Linked DNA regions of Notamacropus eugenii. The protein of the gene in region 3 interacts with the protein of the main gene of each other region in a pairwise test. Links are inferred from orthologs where the notes say so. Each region holds a gene or a part of one and is shown on either strand. Other genes may lie near its edges. The genes, in order: SERTAD1, STXBP4 and KLHL42.

What was found.
Region 1: the proteins of KLHL42 (region 3) and SERTAD1 interact in binary tests that used the Homo sapiens proteins (3 or more experiments, as listed by UniProt). The two-hybrid records come from large-scale screens. The link is inferred for Notamacropus eugenii from reciprocal best matches to the Homo sapiens genes KLHL42 and SERTAD1.
Region 2: the proteins of KLHL42 (region 3) and STXBP4 interact in a two-hybrid assay, tested with the Homo sapiens proteins (2 studies listed by BioGRID and IntAct). The two-hybrid records come from large-scale screens. The link is inferred for Notamacropus eugenii from reciprocal best matches to the Homo sapiens genes KLHL42 and STXBP4.

What each region holds. Positions count from the first base shown.
Region 1 is NC_092876.1:31,105,107-31,114,778, reverse strand, and holds SERTAD1 (SERTA domain-containing protein 1), read right to left. Parts: upstream 3,957-9,672; 5' UTR 3,747-3,956; intron 3,714-3,746; exon of another isoform or gene 3,562-3,713; intron 2,734-3,561; 5' UTR 2,730-2,733; coding exon 2,064-2,729; 3' UTR 1,904-2,063; downstream 1-1,903. UniProt on the Homo sapiens protein: Acts at E2F-responsive promoters as coregulator to integrate signals provided by PHD- and/or bromodomain-containing transcription factors. Stimulates E2F1/TFDP1 transcriptional activity.
Region 2 is NC_092873.1:366,586,148-366,596,564, reverse strand, and holds the start of STXBP4 (syntaxin-binding protein 4), read right to left. Parts: upstream 4,970-10,417; 5' UTR 4,790-4,969; intron 1-4,789. Other genes in the region: COX11 (cytochrome c oxidase assembly protein COX11, mitochondrial), read left to right, coding at 5,025-5,273, 8,311-8,466. UniProt on the Homo sapiens protein: Plays a role in the translocation of transport vesicles from the cytoplasm to the plasma membrane. Inhibits the translocation of SLC2A4 from intracellular vesicles to the plasma membrane by STX4A binding and preventing the interaction between STX4A and VAMP2.
Region 3 is NC_092874.1:218,566,212-218,576,643, forward strand, and holds the start of KLHL42 (kelch-like protein 42), read right to left. Parts: upstream 4,845-10,432; 5' UTR 4,716-4,844; coding exon 3,850-4,715; intron 1-3,849. UniProt on the Homo sapiens protein: Substrate-specific adapter of a BCR (BTB-CUL3-RBX1) E3 ubiquitin-protein ligase complex required for mitotic progression and cytokinesis. The BCR(KLHL42) E3 ubiquitin ligase complex mediates the ubiquitination and subsequent degradation of KATNA1.

The DNA.
Region 1 (9,672 bases), on a different chromosome or scaffold from region 3:
AGGCAGCCTGAGGATAATAGCACTTAGATCTTGAAGGAACTGAAAAACCCATCGAGTAAAGCCCTGGTATTTTACAGATGAGGACATTGAGGCCAAGGAGACCCAAACCCATCCACAGTCCCATGGCTAGCCCAGATCCACAGACTCTCAGCTAGAGTTGTTTCTGTTTTGTTACTGGACCATTTCCCCTAACCCCCTCAGTTTTTCATAGAGACTCAAGTATCTTCTCCACTCTAGCTCCCCAGCCCCATGCCTAAAAAACGGAGGTTTCTCCCTGGTGCTCATCCCCTCTTCATCTCACTGGAGACCAAGAGCACAGGTGAGGGAGGGCGCCAGAAGGGTGGAAGCCTCCTTAATTCCTGGAGTTGGGCTATTTTCCTTCCTTCTACCCCAGCGTGGAGGTTATGGTGCAGGATTTCTTTTTAAGCATCTTTTCTCCCCAGGGCTCCGGCTTTGGCCAGCCCCAGCTCCTCCCTCCTTCTGCCCTCAACCCACGTCCTCCCAACCGCCCCCCCCCATCTCCCCAGTCCCAGGAAGGACGCGAGCGCCCCGTGCCAGGCCGCTGAGTGTGCAGGGACCCCGCCCAACCCTACTCATTCCAAAGGACTAAGTGGCCTGAGGAATGTGGCCCAGTCATAGCTCCCACAGGCAGGGGACAGACAGATGCACCATCTTGTAGGCGCACAGAATGTCACACACAGCCTGATGGCAAGTGCTCAGAATGTATGAGAGCGGGAAGGGACCTTAGGACATAGCAGAGACTGCCCAGGTCCTTACTGAAGCAGGCTTAATACGATAGAAAACTGTTCCCCAAAGTGGAATGGGCTGTCTTGGGAAGCAGGGAGTTCCCCATCACTGGACATCTCCACCTGGAGGATGACCACTTATTAGAGTTGAGGACACTTTCCAAGTGTCCTAGAACTGGGGACTGTTTTAGGGAGTCTTTGAGATCCAAACTACTTTAATCATAATATTAAGATCTTTAATTTCCAATACAGTAGATTATCAATAGCTACAATCCATAGCCCTTAAGAAACTTCAGAAACCAACTCTTTCATTTCCCAGTTGGGGAAACTGAGGATCTAGAGAGGCAAACAAAAGGGGTGCATGGTCTTCAATTTTTAAGAGTGTAAAAGGGGCCTGAGGCCATAGTTTGGGAAAAGCTACAGTAAAGGACATTTTTGCTTGGATACAGGGGTGGGCTATTGAGCAACAAACATTTATTAAGCCACCTGAACCAGTTCCTGCCTTCACATGCTAGGGTCTTCCACTCCTCTCTGCAGAACCACCATTTTGGGAAGGACTCCAGCCATGAATCCTTCCACTCTCTCCAGACTCTACCCCCTTCTCTTCTAATGTCTTGAGCCTCCCTTTCCAACTTCAAATATTTGTTATTTTCCATGATTAAAATGTAAGCTAGTTGAAGATGGGGGCCACCATACTTACATTTGTGTTTCCAGAGCTTATCATATAGAATTTGGTACACAGGAAGCTTTTAAATGCTTCATCCATCCCCCCATCCATCCATATTCTACCGCACTGAGGTCCCTCTTAGTTCTGAGATTGTATATTATTCAGTGTGACCTTAGAACAGAAAGTTAAAACTGGATGAGGTCTTAGGGAAACACATCTATTCCAACCATCATACAGAAGGGAAGCTGAGGACCAGAGAAAGTGAGAGACTTCCTCAAGCCCACACAGAGAGTTGGAGACAGAGTTGAGACCTACAGATCACAGGATCCAACCTCTTCATTTCCCAGTTGAGGAAACTGAGGCCCAGAGGCAAATAACCTTTCCCTGAGATTACCTGACAAGTAGCAGTAGCAAGGGTCAATAATTCACTTTAAATATGCACAGATGGGGGGAGGGAGAGAGGGAGAGAGAGAGAGAGACAAGGAACAAATTGTTTCATATATTAATTGTTTTCATCTTAAAAACCGTCCACGCTTTCCTCCCCACAATTCCATGACCCCCCCTCACCCCTACAGTCTGTAACAGGAGGGGAGCTCCCAGCAGCTCTAGTCCATTTCAGGTCTCTTGGGGGCAGGCAGGGAACCATTTCCCTACAAAGTCTGTGTACCCACAAGCACATCCATGAGGTAATCTAGTTCAGACACGTCCAGCCCTGGCCCCTGTATCTTGTCCTCTGTTTCCCCAGAGTCTGTTTTAAGATTGGGCCACAGTTCACAGTCATACATGGAGGTGTCAATGTCATCAAAAAGACCCTCCAGTCCATCCTCCAGGAGGAGCTCCAGGGACCCCACAGGGGCTGGCCGCCCAGGATCCAGGCCCAGGTCCGGGGGCCGGCTAAGGGGGGCATCTTCAGGGAAGGCTGTCTGGGTGTCACTGAGGCCCTCAATGTGACTCAGGTCATCCAGAAGGGCTGAGACAGACGTGCACAGAGGGGCATCAGGGACCACTGGGAAGGGGTCAACAGGAGCTGGAGAAGGGGGTTCTGGGGCAGAGGGCTCCAGGGCCATAGAGGACTGAATTCTCCTCAAGGTGTTGACCACCAGGACAAGGTGGCGGAGATCTGGCTCGCCCCTCCGAAGGCCATGGTGGAGTTTGAATATAGACAGGCTGAAGAGTGAGCTGGGGGGCAGGGGTGCTGGGCCAGCCCCCTCCTCAGGGCTTGGGCTGGGAGTGGCCTCCTCTAGCCACCAGTCCTGTGAGGTCAGGTTTTCCTCCTCTTCCTCCTCTCGCTTACGTTTCACTCCTTTGCACAACATGGGTCTGTGGAGAAATGGGGGTATGGGGTCAGAAAATGGTCTTTTGTGAGCATTCTTTTGGTTCTCTCCATCAAAGGACTCTGAAAACCCCTCTCCTGATGCCTTGGGACAATGAATCCCAGAAAATTAGCGAGAGACCTTCTAGTGCAGGGAGTCTTAACCTGGGGTCTGTGAACATTTTAAAAATATTTTAATAACTGTATTCCAATACTAATGAATTCTGAATTCTGTGTTTTATTTCATACACTTTAAAACATTATTCTGGAAAGCAGTCCATGGGCTTCACCAGACTGCTCCAGGGGTTCCAATACTAAAAAGGTCGACCCTCACTCCGGTATAATGGCCCCTGGAGCCCCTTCCAGCTCAGACTAGGATCCCAAGTCACAACACCGCTGGGCCTCAGTTTTCTCTTTTGTACAACTCAGATTGGCCTGCCAGGAGCCGGGGACCCCTCCTCTCCTTCCACAGAGCGGGGCGCGGGCAGTGGGGGCTCGGAGGACGGGGCTCGCTCTGGGCCAAGCAAGAGTCAAGGGCAGAGGCCGGACGCCCCTGGGGCCGGTCGGGTCAGCTGGGAGTGGGGGAGGGGGCAGCCTCAGAAGGCGGGCGCCCCCGGCCCAGCCTCGCTCGGCTCCCCGCCTGGCCCGGCCCGGCCCCGCTTGGTTCCGGCTCCGGCTCGGCTCCCCGCCCGGCCCGGCCTCCGCTCCCGCTTCCGGCCCGGCCCGGCACGGCTGCGGCGGCCGCGGGGGCGGGTGAGTCACGCAGCCGGAGCCAGGGAGCCGGCGCCCCCGCTCCCCGCCCCCTTCCCCTTCCCCGGGGCTGGGGCGTGATTCACCCCGGGCCGGAGCAGGCGCCAGCGGCAGCGACAGCGCCCCGGGTCGGGCCCGGCCTGGCGCCCGGGGAGCCGCGCCGGGAGCATCGGACGCCGCCAGGGGATCGGACTCGCCCGGGATGGCGATCCCCTCTCCGGCCCCCAAAGCCTACCCCCTTCCCCCCTTCCCCTTCGCCTCATTTACATACCCAACTCGTCGGCTGCCAATCAGAGGGTCCGCGACGCCACCAGCAGCCAATCAGGAAGCGGCAGAGGCGACCGCATCGCTCGCTCGCTCACTCCTCCCGCGGCCGGCCCCTGGGTCGCTAGAAGCTGCACTGGCCCGGGCGCGCGGTCGTGGGGTTGCTACTTTCCTCTGTTTCTGCCCCGCCCCTGAGAGGCTCCGCCCCAGGAATTCGGGATTGGTTCGCTTCCGTGATGGGCGGGGCTAAGAGGGAGGCGAGGCCATCCAGGGGCCCAGGTTCCCCGAGCTGGATTCCCCAGGCCCTGAGGCCCGGGACGGGGGCACTCTCTGGTTGGCCAGTCCGTGTGTCTTTGGTCTCAGCTGTCGCTTTCCGGGCTAGGGAGGGCGAGGGCGGGGGTCCGTTCTTGGGCTTTTGGGAAGGGTTGGATGAAGGAGCTGAAGAAACGGATTCTCCCCCACTTCCCCCTAAAAGGGGCTGGGTCCTCCCCTTCTTGCTTGGGTTGACAAGACCCCCACAAGCACCTGTTTAGCTAGCCCACCCCCTTGGACCATCCTTTCCTCCTCATTTTTGCCACAGAGACTCTGGCACCGAAGCTGGACCGAAAGGCCCTGAGGGAAATCGTAGAGCCCTCTCCCCCTTCCCCCTTGCCATCACCTTCCCGACCCAGCCTCCTTAAAAAGCCTGCTAGAGCGAGTTCTGGGGGGGTGGGGAGGGAAACCCTGGGAGCATAGTCTAGGTCTCTAGGACTCGGTGGATCTGTGCGGGATGGAATGGAAAATGCCTGGGGGCTCCGAGGCCCCGAGCTTGAATTTAGGCTCTGCTCCAGGCAGGGTAGACCTGTGTGACCTTGGCAGATCACTTTCCTTTTCTGGGTCTCCGCTGCAAAATCAGGGCTGCACCAGATAGTTTCCAAGGCTTTTGCAGGCCCAGACTCCTAGGACCCTTCCCTCTTTTGGACCCAAGTCCCTGCTTCGAATGAGGAGAGGCTTGAGCTCTTGAGGTCGCTGGGGCTCTGCCATTGGGCGATTCCAAGCAGCTGAGTCGAGCCCTGTCCGTCCCTAACTTCTTGGCAGCTGGGGAACAGATGAGAGAGGCCCCGACGGAGGGGAACAGTGGGGCGGAGTGGGGGGAAGGAGAGGAGGGCCTGCCCAAGGCACGGAAACGAAAGTTACAAGAAAACGAGCGCGCGCGACCTGTGGCTCCGAAGCTAGAGCACCCCGGGGGCTTTATTAGAGGGAGAAACCAGAGTCTTGGGGCCAGGAAGGGAAGAGCTAGCAGGGCCCCCGGGGTGGGTGGGGCAGGTGGAAGGGGCCCAGCTAGACAGCTTTCTCAGGAGTCCTTCCAGCAGTGTCCAGACTGTATCCTGCACCACAAACATACCCCTTCTCTTTTCCCCAACTTGTAGTCTGGAGGAGGGAGAGAATTCTGCAGAACTATCCAGCTGGTCCATCCTAGACTGGAGGGGAGCCATGATCTCCCCACAGCTGAGTAAACTCTCCTCACCAGACCCTGCTTTGAGGGCCAGCTCCTGGGGTTGAGGAGCTCTGCCAGCCCTTTTACACCCCTCCTCCTAAACAAAGTGGGGTAGTAAGAAGAAAGGAGACACTGAGTCAGAGCCTGTCACCACTCTTCCACAAAGCCCCCCTCCCCCAGCAGAAGAAAAGGATTTCCTCCTGTATTACTACACCCCGATATGAAAAACTTTTGGGTTCCAGGACTCTTTTCCATTCTTAGAAATTATTGAGGAGGTACTTCCCGACCAAGAGCTTTTGTTTGTCGAATATCAATCTCTATTTACCATGTTAGAAATTAAAACGTCTTCGTATTATTATTAAAAGTTTTAACATTGCAGACTTCCAGAAAGGGCCCCAGGGGTTCCCCAGGGGTGCACTCTTTGAGAGCAGAGGATTTGAGGTAAGTTTCTTCCTCTTCCAACCCTAAATTTCCCCCTAAAATGTGGAGATTGGATGAGATGATGTCTAACTTCCACGACTAAGTCTAAACTGACCACCTCACCCAGGAGTACCCTTAAAGGCAAGGAGGGCCTGGTGGAGAAAGCGGAAACACCTGCCCCCTGCCCCTATAAGGCAGGCTACCTGTTCCTATCCACCAGAGGCTCCAGGCCAAAAAGCATGATGGGAAGAAGAATGGATTAAAGGGACATTATAGAATTTGAAAGTTTTATTCACAAAAAAAAAAAAAACCCAAACAGGTAAAATAGGTCTTTTCAAAACAGAAAAAAAAGGTGTGACCACAAATAAAGATTCCTTTATCCCTGTTGCACTTCATCAAAGCCTCTTTGGGTAGGGAAGGGGGTGATCAAGCACAAAGGAGGGGGGCAAAGGAGGGGGGTACTCCTGGCCAGGAGGGGGGGAGGGGGGAGGAAGAAGATGTGATTTCTTACTGTTTCCATACCTGTCAACCTTGGGAGTTGGGTGGAAGGGAAGGGGGGGTTGGTCTAGAGCCCCTCCTCCTGGCAATCTGGACTTTGTCTCCCCAGAGGCCCAGGCTCCTGGCTTTCAGCCCTGCCCTGCCCCCTTTTTTTCCCCAGGCAGTTACTCAACCCTGAAGCCAGCTTCTTCATGGGATATGAAGCCAAATTAAGGGAAAAATTAGGGAGTACCCGGGGACCAAGCTCCTAGGAGACTAACTGGAGTAAGAATAGCAGCCCCAGAGTGCTTGGTCCTTGCACACCATGGGCCAGTCAGGGTGATAGGGGGAGAGGAGGAGGGATTCCCTGGCAGCAGCTTTGGCTGTGGGAGGATGAAGACAGGGGGAGCAGTGTTCCATCAAGCCATCAAAAAAGAGAGATACAATCTGTTTTTTTTGCCATCAGCAGGCCCTGAGACTAGGCCAGGAGACTTTCCCAAGTCACAAGGAAGCTTCACTACAGCTTCCTGAGATAGGAAATCTTTGGAGACCACTTTCTTGAAACTCTTCAGAGGTAAGCAAGTATCTAAATGAAGGGTTCAGGGTCCTAGGGGACTTGGGGTCTTGCCCCACACCCCCACAGTCTTATGATCCCTTGATGATTTCCAAAATTTGATCCAGTTCAGTCCAGTCCCATTCTGTCCCAGAGGAGGAGGCAAGGGCAAAAAGTGAGGGCCAAGAATCCCTTTCCACATCTGATGTGTCAATGTCAGGGAAGAGGTCATCAGGAACCAGGTTTCCAAAGTACCTGTTGCCCATGATCTCAAAGCTGCCTAGGGCAGGTTCCTCAACTCTGACAGATGGGGAAATTGAGGCCCGAAGAGGGGAAGGTGTTGGCTTGCAGTCACTCAACAGATCAGGGGCAGAGGTAGGGCTACAACTCAGATCTGGGGGCTCACAGTGGTCTTGTGTGATTCTTAAGCCTCCAGCTTATCACCTCCAGCTCTCTGAGGAACTTGTTGGCAGACTGGGCAGTTGAGGGTAAAAGCAGCTCCAACCTAGGTTCCTGGGGCAAGGCTGCGCTCCTCTCCAGGTTCATCTCTTCCCTGATGTGGTTCAGGGTGTCTGTGATGAGCACTTGCCTCAGGAGGTTTGGGGGAAGGCTAGCTGGAATTTGTCCATTGAAGGGCAAATTAGGGTCTGGCCTATGCCAGACCTGTTGGACATGGAATAAGGGGCCTGCTCCTGGGACTCCTTCCCGACCTCCACCTCTTCAGGATCTTGGTGATCATCCAGGTGCTTTCCATTCACACCAACCACCATTGTCCCTTTATGGGAGAAGGGGCAGGAGTTAGGAGACCCTGCTTGCACCCCACAGGGTCCCTGCTGAAAAGGGTCCCCAGAGAGCCCCGAGTCCTAGACAAGTCTCTGCCACTGACTCGATATGGGGTCTCCGTTAAGACTCTTACCAACTCTAAGTCCCCCTGTAATAAAATAGTGGGGTAGGATTGGAGACTCTGTAAGGACCCTCTTCTGAAAACTGGTAGATGGATTGGACTTGGCAAGGAAAACTTGCCCTATTGTTTTATCCTCAAAGATAAATTTGGGAAATGCCCAGGATTTTGGTTTTATATTATTATAGTGTGAGAAACAGGCTGAAGCAATGGGTAGAGAGAGCTGGCTTCAGAACCAGAAAGTTCTGGGTTCAAATCCTACCTCAGACAATACCTATGGTGGGACCCTGGGTAAGTAACTTAATTTTTAATGCTCTTGGCAACTCAAGACTATTAATTACTGAGAAGGTGCTGACCTGCATAGGTAGAGGGATTAGCCTCATTTGGAATCATGAATTGAGACCTGGAAAGGAACAAAGATATCGAAGTTATTCAATTTTCCATTTTACAAATAAGGAGATTTAGGCTGAGTGGTTCAATGACTTGCCCATGGACGCTTGTTTATAGAAGGATTTGAACTCCCGTCTCTGACACTCAGTCCAGAATGACATCCACTGGGTCTTCTAGGAGTTCCTTTTACCAATAAGATCGAAAGCCCTTATCCTTTTAATATCTCAGTAATCAGAGTCCTCCCCTACCCCCTCCGTCTTCCCCTCTTCCCCCTTGATTTGGACCTCTGTTAAAATACTCTGTCACCGCTTGTGAGTAGTAAGTAGACCTTTCTGGGGCTCAGTTTTCTTATTTGCAAGATGGTTTTTAAGATCCCTTCTAGGTCCTATGATTCTGATATTCCAGGACTTTGATCGCCCGGGGATCACTGCAGTAAGGTCCCCTCATTTTACAGAGGGGAAAACTGAGGCACCAAGAGAGGGAAGGACCTTGCCCGAAATCATTCACTGTCAATTCAAGACTAGAAACCAGTTCTCTAAATTCTCACTGGACAAACCTCAAATAGTTAAACAAAGATGCGCAAAGGACTCATACGTGCCCCACCCTTGGGGCTAAGTACCCATTGGAGTATACTACCTTGCTCCGCCCCTCCCGCCTTAGAAATGTTCAGACAACGCCCATTTGGGCCTATTCTCCAATAAGAGCGCCTCATCCTCTCCAAGCCACGCCCAGAGAGGCGTAGCCCCTTTCCTTTCCCGGAGGCTATAGGGGAATGAAGTGCGGGTTCTGTTTCTGGAGAGAGAAAATGAAACCATTCAGGTGGTGGACTACAACTCCCAGAAGACCATTCCATCTGCAGCTGTCTGGAGCCTCTGGCTGCTCTCTAAACTGCTTTGAAGAAGGAAAAAAACCCATCACACACAAAAATGTAGCAGGAGCTCCTCCCCGCTCCCCGAAATTCCCCAGTCATCCACCCCCATCCCAGATTACTGCTAGAGAAATTCCGAGGTTCTTTTGGGTGAGAACCGGGGAGTTTAAGCAGAGACACAAGCACCTGGGTCCTTAAGCGAAGGGGTGGGAGAAAGGGGCCCCTTCACTTCTTCCTCCTCTCTCTCAGATAAGGCCTCTTCTGATTCTGACTTCCCAGGGCTGTAAGACCTGATCTGATTCTCCCAGATCTCCAGTTTTCTCCTCGACCCCAACTCCATTCCCGGAGGTCTCCCTGCCTCCTCGCAGCTCTAGTCTGATCCATAATAACTCATACGTTTGAATAATGCCTAAATTTCGCAATATAAGAACCATTATCCCCATTTCACAGGCAAGAGAACTGAGACTCAAAGGTTAAAATGCATGTTCCTGGGCACACAGCAAGTTGCACTGGAGAAAAGACTGGAATTCGAACCCGGGTCTCCTCAATCCCAATCTCACTACAGCACGCTGCCTTTTAAAAAGGGCTGTTACAGTTTCCCCATGGGCACCCACCTCCAAGAGTTTGACTTTACCTCACTATCACCACCCCCTTCTGATTCTGATCTCCCAGGGCTCCAAGACCTGGTCTGATTTTCCTAGATCTCGTCCACTTCCCAACCCCTCCAGTCCTCCAAATTTTCCTGCCTCCTCCTGACAGTTCTAGTCCAAGGGCTCTCCCTGCCTCCTCCTCCTCCTCCTCCTCCGACCACCCCCACTCCAGCTCACCAATCCCGGCTCCTTGGCTC
Region 2 (10,417 bases), on a different chromosome or scaffold from region 3:
ATGTGCTGCCTAGAACTGGACACAACATCCTAGATTCTCTGCAGAGAAAGTAAGGAATTCTAACTGGTAGATTACTTATGTGGAAGGTGTAAAGGGAGGACAGTACAGTAAATATCAAGCAATTAACCAGCATTTATTGTGTATCTATTTACATGCCAAGATAAGCACTAGGCCTTGGAGATGCAAAGACAAAAATGAAACCTTCTCTTCCCTCACCAGAGCTTGAATTCTGCTGTTAATCAGGAATAGGAGACAGAGCCTGGACTTGTGATTTTTTTTGATCAAGGAAAGTCCCAGAGACGAAACATCCTCTACCAATGTAGGCTGGTATTTCTTCAAGATTCTAAGTTTCAGAGAGTTGGTAAGAGAAAGAATTTGAACAAGGGTCTTCTTGGCTTGAAGGCCAAACCAGTCAGTCAAAAAGCATTTACTAAGCCCTTATTATATATTTACAAATCAGACAGACTGTTAAATGCTAAAGAAACAAAGAATGACAAAAAGAATGGGCTCCCTGAAGGAGGAACTCATGACATGTAATTGAGGGTGGTACAGATAGAGTGCTAGAGTAGGAGTCTGAAAGACACCAGTTCAAAACCTCCCTTAGATTAGTATATGGTCCTGGTCAAGCTTCTTCACCTATGACTCAGTTTCTTCATCTGTAAAATGATAAGGTTGGATTTCATGGACTCCAAAGTCCCTTCCAGATCTAAATCTATGATCCTATGAATAATGTATGTATATGTGCCTGTGCATGTGCGTGCGTGCGTGCGTGCGTGTGTGTGTGTGTGTGTGTGTGTGTGTGTGTAGGGTGTTCCAAAAATTTTACCACACTTTTCTGTTGAAAAAGTAGGTCCTTGGGGGAAAGGGGGGGGGGGGGGTGAAGCCAAGATGGCAGAGTAGAAAGACGGACCTGCTCTAGCTCTAACCCCATAGCTCATAAAATACCTGTAAAAAATGACTCTAAACAAATTCTAGAGCAGCAGAAGCCACAAAATGACACAGTGAAAGAGAGTTCCAGCCCAAGACAGTCTGGAAGGGTGACAAGAAAGGTCTATGGTACTAGGCTCAGAGCTGAGTGCTGCACAGCTCTGCATGGACAGGACTAGAGCAATCTTCAGGGCACAAAATTACTGGCAGCAGCTGTAGTTCCCAGATTTCTCAACCCACAAATGTCAAATACAGCTTCAAAGGTCAGTGAGAAAGCTCTTTCACCTGGGTGAGAAGGGAGCAAGGTCTGGCCCTAGCCCTGGCTCCAGGGTGGCAGCAGCCACTGAGGCAGCAGCATCCATTTTTGGAGCCCTCTGCCTAGAGACCTTGGGGGAAATGAGCTGCAGTCATACAGTGAGGAGGAGTGCTGGCATTGTGGACCTGGTGGAGGATCCGGAGAGGGAATCCTACTCCCAGATTCTGGGCAGAAAAGCTTGTGATTGCTCCCAGACCACAGCACAGGACTCCTCTCCCTTGACTGTATCACCTTGGAGGAATTGAGAATTTACAGATCCCTAGAGTATACCCTCCACTTAACAAAGGACTCAAAAGTCTAGTAATTGGCTGGGAAAATGCCGAAAAAATGGAAAAAAATAAAACTATAGAAGGTTACTTTCTTGGCAAAAAGATATTCCTCCATTCTTTCGGATGAGGAAGAACAAAGCATACCATCAGAGGAAGACATAAAAGTCAAGGCTTCTACAACCAAAACCTCCAAATTAAATATGCAGTGGTCTCAGGCTATGGAACAGCTCAAAAAGGATTTTGAAAATCAAGTAAGAGAGGTGGAAGAAAAATTAAGAAGAGAAATGAGATGCAAGAAAATCATGAAAAACTAGTAAACAGCTTGTTAAAGGAGACCCCAAAATATGCTGAAGAAAATAACACCTTTAAAAATAGACTAACTCAAATGGCAAAAGAGTTCCAAAAAGCCAATGAGAAGATGCTTTAAAAAGCAGAATTAGTCAAATGGAAAAGGAGGTTCAAAAGCTCACTGAAAAAAATAGTTCCTTAAAAATTAGAATGGAGTAGATAGAAGCTAATGACTTTATGAGAAATCAAGAAATTACAAAACAAAAGCAAAAGAATGAAAAAGAAGAAGACAATGTGAAACATATCATTGGAAAAACAACTGACCTGGAAATAAATTCAGGAGAGACAATTTAAAAATTATGAAACTACCTGAAAACCACGATCAAAAAAGAGCCTAGACATCATTTTTCTTGAAATTATCAAGGAAAACTGCCCTGATACTCTAGAAACAGAGTGTAAAATAAATATTGAAAGAATCCACTGATCACCTAATGAAAGAGATCCAAAAAGAAAAACTCCTAAGAATATTGTAGCCAGATTACAGAGTTCCCAGGTCAAAGAAAAATATTGTAAGCAGACAGAAAGAAACAATTCTAGTATTGTGGAAATACAATCAGAATAACACAAGATGAAGCAGCTTCTACATTAAGGGACTGAAGGGCTTGGAATATGATATTCCAGATGTCAAAGGAACTAGGATTAAAACCAAGAATCACCTACCCTGCAAAACAGTATAATACTTTAGGGGAAAACACGATCATTCAATGAAACAGAGGACTTTCAAGCATTTTTGATGGAAAGACTAGAGCTGAATATAAAATGTGACTTTCAAATGCAAGAATCAAGAGAAGTATGAAAAGGTAAACAGGAAAGAGAAATCATAAGGGACTTACTAAAATTGAACTGTTTACATTCCTACATGGAAAGACAGTATCTGTAACTCTTGAGACTTTTCTCAGTATTTGGGTAGTTGGAGGGATTATATGCATATAGAGAGAGAGCACAGGGTAAGTTGAATAGGAAGGGATGATATCTAAAAAAATAAAGGAGTGAGAGAGGAATATACTAGGAGGAGAAAGGGAAAAATGGAATGGGACAAATGATGTCTCATAAAATAAGCACGAAAAAGCTTTTTCAATAGAGGGGCAAAGGAGGGAGGTGAGAGGGAAAAAGCTTACCCTCAATCACATTTGGCTTAAGGAAGGAATGATATGCATACTCAATTTGGTATGAAAATCTATCTTACGCTACAGGGAAGTAGGGGAGAAGGGGATAAGTGGGGTGGGGGATGATAGAAGGGAGGGCAAATGGGAGGAGAGAGTAATTAGAAGTAAACACTTGGAGAGGGACAAGGTCAAAAGAGAGAACAGAATTAATGGGGGGCAGGATAGGATGGAGGGAAATATAGTTAGTCTTTCACAACATGACTATTATGGAAGTCTTTTGCATAAGTACACATGTATAGTCTATATTGAATTGTCTGCCTTCTCAGTGGGGATGCGTGGGGAGGGACGAAGGGAGAGAAGTTGGAACTCAAAGTTTTAGAAACAAATGTTGAGAATTGTTTTTGCATGCAACTGGGAAATAAATATAGGTAATGGGGTATAGAAAACTATCTTGCCCTACAAGAAGAGAAGATGTGGATAAGGGAAAGGAGGGGTGTGATAGAAGGGAGGGCAGATTGGGGGAAAGGGTAATCAGAATGCACAATGTCTCGGAGTGGGGAAGGTGAGAGATGTAGAGAAAATTTGGAAGTCAAAAGCTTATGGAAATGAATGTTGAAAACTAAAATTAAATGTATTAATTAAAAAAAAAAAAAGAAAGAAAATGTAGGTCCTTAAATCACTAGATCCAGACCACGGAAGCAGAAAGGTTTTTAAATATTCTGCATTATAAAGAATGAGACATCTATTTTGGCCAATGTGGAAATGTGTTTTACTTGATTATGTCTTACTTGTTACAAGGGGTTTGCTGTTGTTTGTTTGTTTGGGAGTGGGGAAGATGACAGAAAGGGACAAAAACAAACGCCCGTAGGATGGGGAAAAAAAATTTGACAGAATTTAATTTTTAAAAAATTATCTGGTCCAGGGATTATCAACAGGGAGAATCCATTTTAAGTATTTTGATATCACTGTATTTCAAGGTAATTGGTTTCCTTTTCATGCGCTGTTGTCCCCTGCTCCTTGAGGGCAGAGACTTGGAAAAGTCTTGAGTTCAAATTCTCACCTCACACAAGTGTTGGCTTTGTGACCCTGGACATGTCTCTCAATCTCTCTCAGCCTCAGCTTCCTTATGTGCAAAAGGGGAATAAAGGTATCCCCTACCTCCGTGGGATACTTGTTAAGCCTTTAGCAAAGCACCCCGAACACAATAGGCTCTTAAAAAATGCTTGCCGACTTGACTTAAAATCCCATGTATTTTATGAATTTTAAAACCTTGGGGAGTGAGGTGGGGTCGGGGAGTTCATCGGGTCTACGAGGCTGCCACTTGACTACGAGCTCTTGGAGAACGGGGGCTGGGGTTTGTTTTTCTCTTTGTCTCCAGCCTTTTAGCACTGTGCTCGGCACCTGGTAGGGACTTAATAAAGCGCGCTCGATGGGATGCTACAGGGGGTCTGTGACAATCCTCCCCAAAATGTAAGGAACCTCTGGTCTAGCCCAGGTCGTTCCTGGTGCAGCTGGGCTCCGAGGACCAGAGAGGCTGAGCGACGCTGCCCAGGTCACACAGCAAGAAGGGCAGAGGCGCGAGTCACACTCGGGCTCTCCCTCTCAGCCTGCCTCCTTTCATTATCAGTATCGGGAGAGGTAACTGGGGGTGGGTGGAGGGGCTCAGGCCGCCGGCGGGGTCTCCGGTTGAGCGGAACTCTCGCCCCAGACTCGAGCGGGAGTGGGTTGGCACCGAGGAAGATTCCACGCGCGGAACCAGAAGCTTAGGAGTTTGGGGGCCGGATAGGGAGGGGCTCGAGCCCGGGAGCGAAACGCGAACTCACCCACAATCCGGCCGCTCGGCCGCCGTAGCGCGTCCCCGAAGCCGAGGCTGCTGGAAGAGGGGCCGTTGCTATCTCCGCCGCTGCCGCTGCCGCTGCCGCCGCAGCGGGCTGGAGAAGCCGCGCCAGCCGACGGCGCGCTCTGACGTCACGGGGCCCCAGCAGCCACGCTCGCGAGGGCCCGATCTCGCGCTCTCCGGGGCCGGAAGTGGGGCTCGGGCGCTTCGCCCGGGTTGCCATGGCGGTGTTTGGGCGGCCCCACTGGAAGCCTCTCCAGGCTTGCTGGGGTTGGTGGGGCGGCCGGGCCGCGGCCCCTCAACAGCGGCAGCCGCCGTGGAGGCCGAAGAGCACGAACCCGTTCGCCCGGGAGCAGGAGCAGGAGTGGCGGCGGCGGAACCGCACCGTGCTCACGTACGTGGCCGCGGCCGCCGTGGGCATGATCGGGGCCTCGTACGCCGCCGTGCCCCTCTACCGCCTCTACTGCCAGGTAGGGCAGCCGCCGGCAACCCGGACCCGGAGGCTCCTCCTACCCGCCGGGAAACCGAGGCCCGGAGCAGGGAGGGACGGGCCCAAGGTCGCGCCGACTGGACGGGACCTTACCGGGAAGGAGTCTGGGTCTGTTGTAGAGGACTGAGGTTTGAATCCCAGCCCGGCCCCCTACAGCCCTTTGTGACTTTGGGTTCTCCAGGCCTCAGCCTCCTCATCTGTGAAAGGGGCGTAAAAAATAGCGCCCACCCCTCCTTGTCTTTGGTGATCTGGATCCAGTGAGATAATTTACGTGAAGTGCTTTGCAAGCTTTTACAAAGGCGCTGTGTGAATGCAGGCTTGCTCCATGCAGTGACTTCTCAGTGTTTATTCTCTTTGACCTCTGGGCATCTTTTAATGCTGTTAACCAGCTCCCTGCTCTGGAGATTCCCGCACTTTGTCCTTTGTGACACTGCCCGTATTATCATTCATTCAATCATTCATTCATCAAATATTTATTAAGTTCAGTTCCAGAAACACTTAATTAGCACGTACTGTGTGCCAAACTTGGTGCCAAGTGGTGGGATACAAAAAGAGACCAAAGACAGCCCCTGCTCTCCAGGAGCTTACAACCTGGCATGGAGATAAAAATGCAACCAAATAATAGGAAATAATGGAAAGAGAGAAAGCACTAAAACTGAGAGGGGTACGGAAGGCTTCCTGTCGGTGGGATTTTAATTGAGACTTACAGGAAGTCAGGGAGGTCTTTAGTTGGAGCAAAGACAGGAGAGAGAGCATTCCATGCGTAGGGTGTACAGCCAGAGAAAATGCTCAGAGCCAAAAGATGCAGTGTCTTGTTCTTGAAACAGCCATGAAGCCAGTTTCACTGGATCAGGGTAGTTTGGGGGGAGTAAGGTGTGAGAAAACTGGAAAGCCAGGAGGGGGTTAGGTTACAAAGTAGTAGTTGAGGAGTAAGGTGTGAGAAAACTGCAAAGGCATGAGGGGGTTAGGTTACAAAGTAGTAGTTGAGGAGTAAAGTATAAGAAAACTGGAAAGGCATGAGGGGGTTAGGTTACAAAGTAGTAGTTGAGGAGTAAGGTGTGAGAAAACTGGAAAGGCAGGGGGGGGAGGGGTTAGGTTACAAAGTAGTAGTTGAGGAGTAAGGTATAAGAAAACTGGAAAGGCATGAGGGGGTTAGGTTACAAAGTAGTAGTTGAGGAGTAAGGTGTGAGAAAACTGGAAAGGCAGGGGGGGGAGGGGTTAGGTTACAAAGTAGTAGTTGAGGAGTAAGGTGTGAGAAAACTGGAAAGGCAGGGGGGGGAGGGGTTAGGTTACAAAGTATGTGGTGTTTGGGTACAGAACATTGTATGGAGCCCTGGAGGAAATGACATTTAGAGAAGACCAGGCTCCTGCTTGTTAGGCAATTAGGAGGCACAGCTAGACTTGGAGACCTGACATTCCCAGCTAATGGCCAGATCTTGTCAGTTCTACCTCTGCAGCATCTCTTTACATCTCTCCCCTGGCAATCACTTTCCACTCAGGCCCTCCTCACTTCTCTGGACAATTGAGATAGCCTCTAAACAGACCTGCCTGCTGCCTTCTATCTTTACCTTCTTGCTCACTGCTGCCAAGTAATTTTCCTAAAGTTCAGGTCTGAACTCTACTTGATGAAGCTGTGTCTCCCTCTCTCAGATTAAATATAAACTCCTCTTTATGATTTAAAATTCTTTAAACCATGGTTCCATCCTGCCTTTCCAACCTGATCACACATTACTCCTCCCATGCATTTTACAGTTTTTCTATTCTTTGCAAATGACAGGCAATGTCTTTGCACTGACTCGCCTTTTCCTAGAATGAACTCTCTGTCATCTCCAACTTTGGAAATTCCTGGGAATTTCCTTCAAGATTCAACTCAGGTGCCACTTTTAATATAAGGCCCTTCCTGGTAGTACGTCTATCCCCCAATCCCTGCTTATCTTATATCTGCTTTGTGTGTTTTGTAGATATGTATATACACATGTATATACATATGTGTATGTATATGCCTGTTGTTTCCTCTTTAAAATGTATGCCCTTTGAAACAAGTACTCTTGCTTTGATATTTTCTTTATACATGCCTAGCACAATGTCTGGAACATAATAAATGCTTTCAATTGAATATAATTAGATTGATCTAGAACTGACTAAATGACTGGACTATCAGGTTCTTAGGGATGTGGCCACTAGAATAAAGCCTCAGATGCCTTTTGTTATTTAGTGCTAGCTTCTGCTTTGTTTAGTGAACTGATTTGGAAATTAGTTAAGATGTTCAACATTTAAAAGTAAAATGATTGTACAAATGTAGGTATTCCATACTTATCTTAAAAGGTGCACTAATAATAACAAAATTTAAATGGTAGCATAGCATGTTTATATATTTTGAAGCAATTAGGAGCACTGTCACAGTTATTTGAAGACATATTTAAAATAGTAGTTCTCTGCTCCATTGGGAAAGCATATTTTTGGGACTTCAGGACTTGGTTGAAATCTTTTTTGGGGGAGTAGTGGGGGAAGCAGCTAGGTGGAGTCAGGAGAACCTGGGTTCAAATCCAACCCAGATACTTAACTTTGTGACCCTGGGCAAGTCACTTAACCCCAACTCCCCCCCAAAAAATCTTTAGCCTCTAAGGTGCCTTCTAGTTGTAGATCTTTGTCTTTGTTCAGTTGTTTCAGCTGTGTCTGACTTTTTGTAACCTCAGTTGGGGTTTTCTTGGCAAAGATACTGGAGTGGTTTGACATTTCCTTCTCTAACTCATTTCAGATGAGGAAACTGAGGCAAACAGGGTTAAGTGCCTTTCCCAGGGTCACACATCTGGTAAGTGTCTGAGGCCAGACTTGAACTCAGGAAAATGAATCTTCTTGACCCCAGGCCTGGCACACTATCCTAGCTGCCCACTGTAGATCAGGTGTCCTTTAATCCTGTGGTAGTGTTTTAAAGGAACGTTTCATGATTATGATGCACCTTCATTAAAAATCTATAAATCTTGTTTTTAATATACTTTGTAATAATTTTTTCCCAGACCACAGGACTTGGTGGGTCACCTGTAGCTGGTCATGCTTCAGACCAGATTGAGACTATGGTACCTGTTAAGGATCGAATCATTAAAGTCACCTTCAATGCAGATGTGCATGCAAGTCTTCACTGGAATTTTAGGCCTCAACAAACCGAAATATATGTAAGTGATTGCCACATTTAGTAGTCCATGCTGAATGGTAGAAAGAACCTTTATCTTATTCAAACCCCTCATATTGCAAATGAGTAAACTAAAGCCCAGAGAGGTATGACCCTCCATAGGCCATCAGGAGGGGTCAGCTTTAGAGGTAGGATGGGACTAGATAATAACTTTAATTCAAAAATGAATTCTTGTTACTCTTAAGTAATTTCAGATCTTTAGAAAATCACATCTAAAAATTTATAAATTATGACTAATATTAATCATGTTAATGTGTTTCTCTCCTTCCCTCTGCCTAGTCTCTTCCTCTTTCTCTCCTCTCCCACTCCCATACATTTTTTCCACCCTTGCTTCCAAGAACTGAGTGTCACAAGGTTTCAGGAACTCCTGGATTCTCATGAAATGATCATGGTGAGCGTTAGCATCACTGCTATAAAACCCTGATTAAAATACTTGCTAAACTATGTAATCTCTTTAACTTGAGAGCCAGAACATTTTTTCCCCTTTATTTTCAATCCTCCTCACTTGACCTTCCCTCCAAAAACCATTACCTGTCTTTCATTCCTCTTGTTTCTCCCTCCCTGCTCTGCAAACATGGTCTACAATCCTAGGACCTTAAACAACCTTTCTTTGACACTTCTATTCCAGCCAGTTACTCCTCTCTCTCTCTCTCTCTCTCTCTCTCATTACTGCCAAACTTCTTGAAAGTTTTTACAGTTTATGATGCCTCTACTTCCTCATCATCTACTTTCTCCTCAATACCTCTCCCTTACCACTTTATGAAACTGCTCTCAAAAAGGTCACCAACAACCCTTTTAAAATTCCCTCCCAGTGACCTTTTTTTGCAGCTTTAGACACTATTGACCACCTCCTCCTTTGGGATACTTTCATTACCCTTGGCTTCAGAATCAGTGCAGTCAATTGGTACTCCTCTTACTCCTTCCCCCACTCATTTGATTCACTGACTCCTTGTCCATTTCCCTACCCCTTCTTAAAGTTCTGTCCCCAACATCCTGATATCTGAGCCATGTGACTGGGTTTGGGAGTGGACCAGAGAGCATGCCATACTAGGATTATTTAGTATGGAGAAAAGATTTAAGGAAGGCGGTGAACTTGGTGTCATGACTAAAAAGTCTGTCACTCTGTTCACACTCTCCATTCATTCTTTCCTTTGTGTGCTTCAGACCTTTTCTTTTCTCTCCCATACCCTACTTATGTTGAACAGAATTTAACCTTCTCTAAGGAGATTGAGGGCATCCTGCCTTAGCTTCTTCAGTTCCCCTCCTCCTCCATTTCTCAATTTCTACTGTAATATTTTTTTTTTTAGGCTAGAAAAATACAGGTATCACTCTTCTTCACTAAGCCTTATACATAGGTCCCTGATCTGTCCTTTTCCTGATTCTGAAGTTGGCTCCTCTTTCTCAGGGCATCTTTCATCATTCCTTCTTTCAGTTTTCCAGATACCTAATATCCTCAGTCTTTTTTTTTTTCTAATCCTTCTAGCTCATCTAGGCACTGACTCATCTTTATCTGGAGATTCCTTCATTTTGTCATTGTCCAGTCTTCTCAGCACTTTGAAATCTAGCTTCTGTCCTTCACCAATGTCCTCAGAATCCTTGAAGCTATAATGGCCTTTTGTTTTTCAGTCCTCTTCCTCCTTGACCTCTCTGCTGCTTCTAACACAATTGATTATTCCTGTTTACTGGATATTTTTTCTCTTTCCTTGATTTGAGACTCTTCTTGCCTATCTAACCACTCCTTCACTAGTCCCTTTCTCCTTCCAGATTTCTCATTGCTGGTGTTTCCTATGGACCTGTCTTTGACTTTCATCTCTCTACACTCTCTCCTTTGGCAATCTCATTCAAGTAGACCTACCTGGTCTTCTGTGCCTGGTCACCCTAAATACCTTTGCCCTTTCTCCCCTTTACTTTTTGAATTCTTACCCAACTCAAAG
Region 3 (10,432 bases):
ACTCTTGGGGAGGGACAGGATCAAAAGAGAGAATAGAAGCAATGGGGGGCAGGATAGGATGGACAGAAATATAGTTAGTCTTACACAACATGACTATCATGGAAGTCATCTGCAAAATTACACAGATATGGCCTATATTGAATTGCTTGCCTCCCCAAAGGGAATGGCTGGGGAGGGAGGGATGAAGAGCAGTTGGAACTCAAAGTTTTAGGAACAACTGTCGAGTACTGTTCTTGCTGCTAGGAAATAAGAAATACAGGTAATGGGGTATAGAAAGTTATCTGGCCCTACAGGACAAAAGAGAAGATGGGGACTAGGGAAAGGAGGGATGATAGAAGAGAGGGCAGATTGGTGATAGGGGCAATCAGAATGCTCGGTGTTTTGGGGTGGGGGGAGGGGAGAAATGGGGAGAAAATTTGGAACCCAAAATTTTGTGAAAATGAATGTTAAAAGTCAAATAAATAAATTTAAAAAAAAAAATAAAACTTGAACTCAGTCAAAAAGCCACATTCAAGCACCTAGCAGATCACATGTGGCCTCGAGGCTGCAGATTCCCCAGCCCTGTGACTAGATCCTTTCCCATTTAAATATGGGAGTAAAGTAAGGATGCCCACTTTCCCTACTATTATTTGATATAGTTCTGAAAATGCTAGCAACAGCAAGAGAAAAAGATTAGAGAAAGAAATTAAAAAAATAAAGAGAAGGTAAAACTATCTGTTTGTTGAAATGATGGTATAGTTGGAAAATACAAAAGAATCATCAAAAATACTGAGACAATTAATAACGCTGTCAAAGTTGCAGGCTACAAAATAAACCCTCAAAAATCAGTACTATTTCTATATAATAATAACAAAACACAAGAAACAATAATATAAAGGGAAATCTCACTCTAAATAACTACAAAATACATAAAATATTAGGGGAATTGATCTACCAAAGTACATAAAAGATTTGTATAGATTCAATTACAAAGTGTTACTTAAAGAAAAAATAATAATCTAGAGAGCTGGAAGAATATTCAGTACTCATGGCTAAGTTGTGCCAATATAATAAAAATGGCAAAACTTCCAAAGTTAATTTATACATTTAATGCTATATCAATAAAATAATCAAGGGAATGGTTTATAGAATTTGATGAAATAATAACCAAATTCATTTAGTAAAACAAAAGATCTAGAATGTCAAGGGAATGATGAAAAAAAGTAGTGATAAAGGGGAACTAGCACTCCTAGGCCTCAGACTATTATCATAAGGTAATACTCATCAACACCATTTGGTATTAGTTCAAAAACTGAGAGAAAGATGAAAAGAACTCTGTAACCCAGTGTCTGATAAAGTGAAAAACATAATTACTAAAGGAAATAATTCCTTATTTGATAAAAATTTCTGGGAAAACTGGAAAGCAATCTGGCAAAAATTAGTCTTAGATCAACACTTTCACAACATATTCTACAATACATTCTAAATGGATACATGACATTATGAAAAATCATCCCATAAAAAAAAAACTAGAAGAGAAGCAGACCTCTACCTCTCACAACGATAGACAGTAGATGTATTTTGAATCAAACAAGAGACTGAAGCAATTACAACAGAGAAAATAGATAACTTTGATCCTGTGAGACCAAAAAGCTTCTGCACAAACAAAATTAATGCACCTAGAATAAGAAAGGAAGAGATCAAATGGGGAAAAAAAAAATCTTTGTATCAAATTTCTCCAATAAGAGTTTGGTATCCAAGACACTCAAACAACAAACATGAGTCTAATAGCCATTCTCCAATAAATAAGTCGCCAAAGACTATGAACAAACAGTCCTCCAAAAAAAAAAATTGTGAAGTGTTCACAATCACACGAAAGAATACTCCAAATTATTAATAGAAATGCAAATCAAAACAACCATAAGTTGTAAATTGGCAAAAATTTTAAAAAATGGCAATAGTCAATGTTGAAGGGGTTATGTATATACTAATACATTGTTAGTTGAGCTGTGAAATGGTACAACCATTTCGGAAAGTAATTTAGAGTTATGAAAATAAAGTGACTAAAATGTCTATATCCTATGAATCAGAGACTCCTTTTTTGTGTTTATTACCCAAGGAAGCCATTAATAAAAAGATGATCTCCACATAAACCAAAATGTTTATAAAAGCATTTTTTGTGATAGCAAAGAATTGTAAACATAGTAGATTCTCACTGATTGGAGAAAGGCTAACTAAACTGTGGTATGTAAAGGTAATGAAGTATTACTGTGCTTCAAGAAATGTTACATGTGATGAATACAATGAAGTATATTAAGATCGACAAGAAGTAATGCATATATGGTGAAGTAGAGCCAAGAAAACAATATACACAGTGAATAATATAAATGACGAGAACTATACACAAAAAAATTCAACATGAATGTAACTGAATTATAATCATCAAGCATGATATGAATCAAGAGATATGAGACACTATCCCCAACCTACCTCTTTGTGGAGGTGGGAGGTCCACAGGTACACACTGTCCATGTTTTGGGACTTTGTCAATATGTTAATCAATTCTAATTTTTTTCTTATTCTTTATTTCCCTTGTCTCCCAGTCTTTGTTTCCCTTTTTTTGGGGGGGGGGAGGGCTCTTAAAAATATTATTTGTTATATAGAATGGGTCTCTGGGAGAAGAAAGGGGAGAGATGCTGGGGTAGCTACAATGGTGTCAAAAACAGAAGACATCAATATGGGTAACTAATAAAATTCTAACGTATTTCCTAGTAAGCATGGTGGGATATTTGGGACACCTAGGTTGCCCAATGAATACACTACTGGGCCTGGAAGTCAGGAACACACTTTCCTGAGGTCAAATCCAAACTCAGAAGTATGACCCTGAGCAAGTCACTTAAAACTGCCTCAGTGTCCTCATCTGTAAAATGAGCTGGAGAAGGAAATGGCAAGCCACTCCAGTATCTAAGAAAACTCCAAATAGAGTCACAAAGAGTCAGACAGGACAGAACAACAGTGAGGTATGTAGGAGAGTTAGATGATCTGAATTTGAACCCCCACTGCCACTTACTACCAAACCTGTATGACTGACTTGCAGGCAGGCAAGTCACTAAACTTCTCTAGGATCTAGTTGCCTCACCTGTAAAATGAACTAAATCATTCTAGTCCTTTCTACCTCCCTGGAGAATGACTACCCTAAGGCCTACTCACTAACTGGTGAGTCCCAGCCAAGAGGCACCATGTATCATGGGAAACTCCAGCCCCATGACTCACTTTGCTTCTTGCTCCACCGCCTTGCCTTCCTTTCCCTCCCCAGTGCTCCTTGCCTCCATCCCTTGGCAGCTCCTCTTTTATGTTTTGCCTTTTTGTATTAGATTGTAAATTCCTTGAGGGAAGGGATTGTGCACGTTTTATTTATTTACCTATCTAACATATAAATCTATGAGCCCATGAACTGAACGTTCAGGCTTTAGGAGGATCCTGAATTGATGGAAGTAATCCCTTTGGGAATTTCAGATAAATATAACGGATTAGAGTGATCATGGGTGGCTTTAGTGGCCTGAATCAAAGGAAAATCTAAACTTTTCTCATGAACCGTCCTTCTTAGAAAGTGGCGAGGTGCCACCTTGTATGGAAAGACCCGTTAACATTAAAGGTCCTACTGCCTAGCTGGCTCAGCTCCTCTGTCCTGCAGCCCTTGGCTTGTTCCTCCTCAAGGTAAGGGAACACTCCTGATCTTGGAGGCCCACAGGCAGTGTGCAGTCACAACAGACAAGCGTGTTGCTGCCAGGGCCCAGGACCCAAGTCACCTCCAGAGCATCACCTGGGAGCTGGGAAGGGTCTTGTGGGAGCCCTGCACCTGGTGCTTACCTCTTCTGGTTCATCGAGGCCACCTGACTCCACTCATTTTTGCAGGGGTTGTAGCAGTGGGCAGCAGAGATCTCCTGGCTGGTGATCCTATAGCCTCCCACTAGGAAAAGGTAGTTGTCGAGGACGGCAGAGCCGTAGCCCCGGACGTTCACCAGGTCGGGGGGCAGCTGGTTGGCCAGAGGCAGCCAGCGCAGGGCGGCCTCGTCGTACCTAAGCATGGACCTGGGCTCTCCCTGGTGGGGATGCGGGGCCAGAGGGCCCCCCAGGAAGTCTCCCAGGGCGATGAGCACGGCTTTTCCCTTCATCCTGCCCTCCCTCAGCTTCTGCTTGAGATCGGCCTCGCCCGGAGCCTGAGGGGAGGTGACCAAGAGGTGGAACTGGGGGCTGCGAAGCACCTGGTGGTAGTGGGCGGCCATGAAGCTGAGGCAGGCCTCCTGGAGGTCCTGCAGCCCGTACACCTGCGCCAGGCGGTGCAGCTCGAGGCAGTTGTCCAGGCGCACCTGGGACAGCAGCAGCTGCAGCAAGGAGGTGACCTGCAGGAAGGAGGCCACTTCCACCAGCTCCTCCAGCCAGCTGCCTTCCTCCACCTCCTCCTCCTCTCCACTCCCCTTGTCTCCCTGCGGGCCCAGAGACCAGCCGGACCCCGTCCCTCCGGTGTTGATGAAGTCCAGCACCAGCTGCAGGCCCGGGGCGCTGAGCCCCCGCAGCTGCTGCACCTCGGGGCCCCCCGACTCCGGCCCCCCGGCTTCCCGCATGCCCGAGCGGTACAGGGCGCGAAAGTAGTCGCTCTGCTCGATGAGCTTCCTCTTGCTGACGGGGTAGCAGCGGCCCTCCAGCAGGATCTGCACCACCTCCTCCGCAGACATGGCCGAGGCGCCCGCCGCGGGCCGGGGGAGGCAGGGGCCCCGACAGCGCCCCCCACCCGCCCGGTTCTGGGTTCGGCGAGGGGGAGGGCACGGGAGCGCCCAGGCTCCGCCCGGAAGGGGCGGGGAGGGGGAGGTGGGGGGAGGAGGGGGAGGAGGGGCCCCTCCCCGCCTGGCTCCGCCCCCTCCTCCCGCCCCTCCTTCCCCCGCTCGGCCTCCTCCCGCCGCTCCCGCCCCCGCTCGTTTCATCTCCTGGCTCCCTAGAAGGCCAGGCTCTGCTCTCCCCCCGGCCCCGGGCCCCGGGCCCCGAACATCCTTCGTCTGCCTCCTCCCCCAAGCCCAAGCCCCGAAACGCCGGACCTGCCCCTGTGGGAGGCGAGCCTCCGCTGCCCGGAGCTGCCTCCGGACGCCCCGTGAGCCGGTGCCCCGAGAAAGCACCATTCATAGCTGGCACCGCCCCGCAGGGCTCTGCGGCGTCTGCCTCCGGTCTCCGGGCCGCCTTGGCAGGCGTGCGTGCCCAGTACTGTGCCCCCTGGAGCCCCTAGCATCTCTGCGGGCGTGCGGAGAGAACGCGGGTCTGTGCAGTAGCAAGGGGGCAGACACAAAGCAGGACCGAACCGGGACCTTAGCCCCAGGACTTGGGTCCTTGAGCACAGTTTCTCCGAGGGTCCTGGACAGGCCAGTCTGTGGCTGTGCGGGAATCCCCTCCGCATCCTCTAAGACCTCCAGGAAGGCCCCGCAAGCCCCTCCAGCCTTTGCGGAGGCTCTGGTGAAGAAGAGCCCGCTTCCATTTTAGGACGGCGCCAACACTAAAAATAGTTTTCCTTAGATGGGGCTGAAATCTCTCCCTGCAGCTTCCAGCCCTGTCCTCGCTGGCCTCGGACCCGGCGGATGAAGTCTGGCCCCTCTTCACGTGCCAGAATCCCCCGAGCTCCCCTGGCTTCTCTTGTTCCTTTAAGTCACCCTTCAGCTCCTGGTTATCCCCCCGGCCTGTCAACGTCCTCCCCCAAACATCACCCAGAACTGCCCACAGTCACCCTAAGTTAACCTGGCACAAGTCTGGTGAGCCCTTTCTATGTGGCGCAGCCTTCTGGTAGACCACATAGCGAAGACTGTCACAGGACAGAGGACACCAGGGGTGCCTGTGGCATCCGCACAGACGTTTGCCCAAAGTCATGGAAATAGGCAAGTTTCATCTTAGCCCTGTAAATTCTCTTTTTTTTCCCCCAATCAATAAGCATTTTTCCCATAACATGGTATTAATTTTTAAAAAAATAATTGCACATGAAATTGTGAATCTATTATATACAACTTGGTATTCCTTTTTAATATATAATAAAGTTATGTAAATTTCTTTTTTCATTTTTCTTCCCTCTCCCCCCAAAGATGGCAGCCATTAGACACAAATGTGTATATATGTACAATGTGTGTGTGTAAAATCATTCTACACATCTATCAGTTCTTTCTCCAGCTGCAGATAGCATCTTCCTATGTCCCTTGTAGTTAATTTGGGTATTAATAGTCAAAATGACTTATTTGCTCAAAATAGTTCTTAAAGCAATGTTTTTGTTAGTGTTCAGCATTCTCATTGTTCTGCTCGTTTTCCTCTTCATTATTTCCTGCAAGTCTGTCCCTGCTTTTCTAAGATCATCACACTCATCATTTCTTATGGCACAGTAGCGATGACCAGGTCAGAGAATCATAATGTTGAGGTTTGGCGTGCTTGGGACCCCAAAATACCAACACACTGGGTCCTGCCAAATGAATTCAACTCAAGCCTTCTTTCAGTCAAAGTAAAACAAAGTTTATTAAAGATTGGCCATATTGGGTTGACTCTTAAGCCAAACTATTTGTGATGCTTGTATTGACATGTGGACCAGACAGAATCTCAGCTAGACAGAATGAGAGCGCCTTCATGGAGGCCAGATGGAACTTATATACAGAAAGACTGTGGGAGGGATCTGGATAGGAGGAGAGTCTAAAGAGGATCTTGATGGAAGTGGGGCAACAAGTGATGTAATCAAGGGCAGGAGACAGCCGGAGGCAATTGGGAGGTAACAGACAATGGATGGCCAGGCTAGATTAAGGGTAATGGATTTGGGTATGAAAAACCAGATTAAGTGGGAAGATTCAAGGAGAATTCAAGGAGGTTCCCAGAGGCTGTACCTCATCAGTAGTAGTCCATCACAATCATATACTAATGATGGGGTATGGGACCTGAACCTCTAAAAAGGGTCTTTGAACTTTACCACAAATTTCAACAGTCCAGATTCGAGGCATCCAGGCCCATCCCAGTATAATCTTTTCAACCGTTTTCATTGTGGCTCCTAACCCAGCCCAGCCCTTCATTCTCTGTTACCTCTGGACCACTCCAGGCTACTTGCCACTCCTTAATCCCATCAAGATCTTTTCACTAACCCATTTTCCCTTTGTTTATATAAGAATTTCATTCTCAATCCTATTAAGGGCAGACTCACAAGGAATCTTGCCCACCCAACTGGTGTCTTAATAAACTCACTACTTGGACTGAAAGAAGGTTTGAGTGGTCACATTCTTTCAAGGCAGACCCCTGCCCTAAACCCTTGTATTTCAGGGTTCCTAGCACCCCTAGGCCACAACATATTTTGGTTCCCCAACTTACACTGTGAACTCTGAGAAAGAGTCATGACAGAGAGAATCCCTCTTGCTGAGCCCTAACAGTGGCTAACAAGAAATGTGGAGCTGAGGTAAAGTGTTAGCATGCCCTAGCATGGGGTACTCTTCCCCTGACTTTGTGTCTCCTATGCATCAAGACTTGTGAACTTCTTTTGTAGATGATAGTAATTATTATTAATAGTAGCTAGCATTTGTGTAATGCCTTAGGGTTTGCATGGCACAGTGCTCTACATGTATTATTTCATTAGATCCTCACAACAGCCCTATGAGGTAAGTGCTATTATTAACCCCAGTTTACAGATGAGAAAACTGAGGCAGACAGAGGTTAAGTGACTTGCCTAGGATCACATAGCTAGAGAGTGTCAGAGACAAGATTTGAATTTGGCTGTTCCTCACTCCATGTCTCTGACTCTATCCACTAGACATCTAGTTGGCTAATCATCTGACTGGAAGATTAGGAGTGGCAACCCTCTCCCAACCCCCAACTCAGAGGAGTACTTAGGTGACACTCTACACAGTCCTTATGTCTTTGCTTGATAAAAGCTTAAATAGGCTACTGAATGATCTCTTCTTGATGGGGAAGTAGAATTAACACTAAAAACACCTGGTACACTAATTGATGCAAATATGTTATAATTTTACTTTGAAACAAACATTTTTATCCCATCTCTATTTCTCTTGCCTTACGGATAAAATAAATGTACTGTATCAACTAGCACATCTTGGTCCTTCAGGGTGTTCTTAAAATAGGATCTTTCTTAAAGCAGAGAAACCTTTTCCTGTGGCTGCTGGCCAAAAGGAGCCTGTGCTCACATTTTGTCAGTGGTACAACCCTTCCAATTCCAATAATATTCCAGTTGTTTAACATCTTTAAAAAATTTTAGTTTGAACCATTAAATCCCTATTGGTATGATTTAACGCAAGTATCTTGAGGAAGAAATTTTTCCCCTTTAAAGAGACAAGAGATACTATTCCTTAGCTTTGTGAGCTGAGGTGGTCTGGGGAAAGACTGGGTCTCCACAGGAGAAAGAGCATGCAAAACAAGCATTATACTCTAGATCAGTAAGAGAAACTAAGCCATATATTATCGTTATTTTATTGCCTTGAACCAGTACATATGTGCATGAACACCCTTTTCACAAGTAAGGTCTGGAAATTCTTTTCTTGCTCTGTATGCCTTCATCAAAAAATCATAGGTAAAAATGTTAGACCTGAACTTTAGAAATCACCTAGCCGTGGGATCATAAATTAGAGTTGGAAAAAGTCATGGGAGTCATCTAATCCAACCCCTTTATTTTATAAATGAGGAAACAGAAGTCAAGTGGTTTGCCCAAGTTCATACAGGTGGTAATTAACAGTGTAATCTAAATTCAAGTTTTCTGTATCTGAATCCACCAATCTTCCCACTGCATCACATTGACAATTTTAATCCAAATTTCTCATTTTACAGATGAAGAAGTAGCTTCAGAGAGGTAAGGTTAAACCCAAGATCATATAGGTAGCAGTAAATGGTAGAGTCAGGATTAAATTTTTGCTTTCTGACTCCAAGCCCAGATGACTGAAGCCTTCCAATATATGAGACCACTTAATCAGTCATCACATCCATGAAGAAAGTTTGGGATGATATAACATTGAGGAAGAAGCCAACTGTGAACTTAGAGAAAACATCTCTCCCAAAAAACTAACCTTTGAGGCCAAAGAAACAGAGTTATGGAATTATATATATAGAAAGACAGGCTGGCAAAGACAGGATGAGCCTGACTGATTTCTATCTTGAAGGAGGCTTCCACTCTTTTCTAGATTTCTTGCCAAGATATCTGATAAGATTAACTAGAAAACCTGATCTTTGGCAACTTCTAAGACCCTGTGGTTAACACATCTAACACCAGGTTAACACATTCTCCAAATCATTGGCTATCCTGTCAGATCCCCCAAATCCCATTCAATCTCCCCGAAAAGCAACGTGACTGAGCAGCCTCAGTCTCTTTTTACCTACCTGTACTATAACCCTATGACTTTAAAAACCCTTAATAAATAGCCAGGTTGCTATTCATATGACAACTGACCATCAGCTGATGCTAATTAAATTTTTTATCTTCTAGCCTTGCCTCTTGATTTACTGACCTCCAGTCAAATGGACCAAATTGGGAGAAATTATACTCTTCAAGAGAACTCGGGGTTGAGAAATTCCCCAATATCATTTTGAAAGCAACAAAACTGAATTTGTGGTTCCTTGTTCCTCAAAAATGTTTAGCTCATCTCACAAAACGTCAAGACAGGTTGTATCAGAGTCTGTAGTCCCATAGAGTGCCAAGCCTAGAGGCCTGAGGGCTACCCGAGTCTTACCTTACCTATCGCAGGTCTTCGGCTGGCCAAACTGGATAAACGTATGAGAGAAGAGACTTTCCAGAGTCGAACAAGGGTTAGGCTTTATTCAGGGTCTTGGTTACATGTGCAGGGGGAACTCTTCCTTAGGAGAGAGAGAAATCTCCCAAGGAGGCAAAGATCTTACAGTAAGAGATTGGAAGTGGGAGAATGGGAGAATGGGAGAATGGAAGAGAGGGAGAGAGGGGAGAGGGAAGAGAGAAGAGAGGAGAGAGGGAAGAGGGGCCTTCTGTCCTCTAATGGCCCCTCAGCACTAAGAGCGCCTTCAGGCTTTCCTGACCCTACTTAAGCTCTCCTGCCGCATAGTTTGCACCTGAATACCGTGCCTGTTAGACAACAATAGGTGTGCTCAGACTGGGGCCAATCTCGAGGGCGAGGGCGGGGATGCTCTCTCCCAGCATTTTTCCCACGGGAAGAGGCGGAAATGCACGGTCTCACACCTCAATTTCCTGCTGTTCCCTGGGGGGCCTCATGAGAACTCTAAGGTTTAGAAGTCCTCACCTTTACCCGCCCAAGACTGTCCACATGGAACTGAGCTTACACCCCCAACAATAGAGCATGTATATTTACTACTAAATGCGTGCTAGTGTTGTGGGGGGAGGGGGGCAGTATATTTCTTTTTTCATGTAATGATGTATCTCGAAACTCCTTTCAGGCTTTAGCAGTCTACATTCATGCAA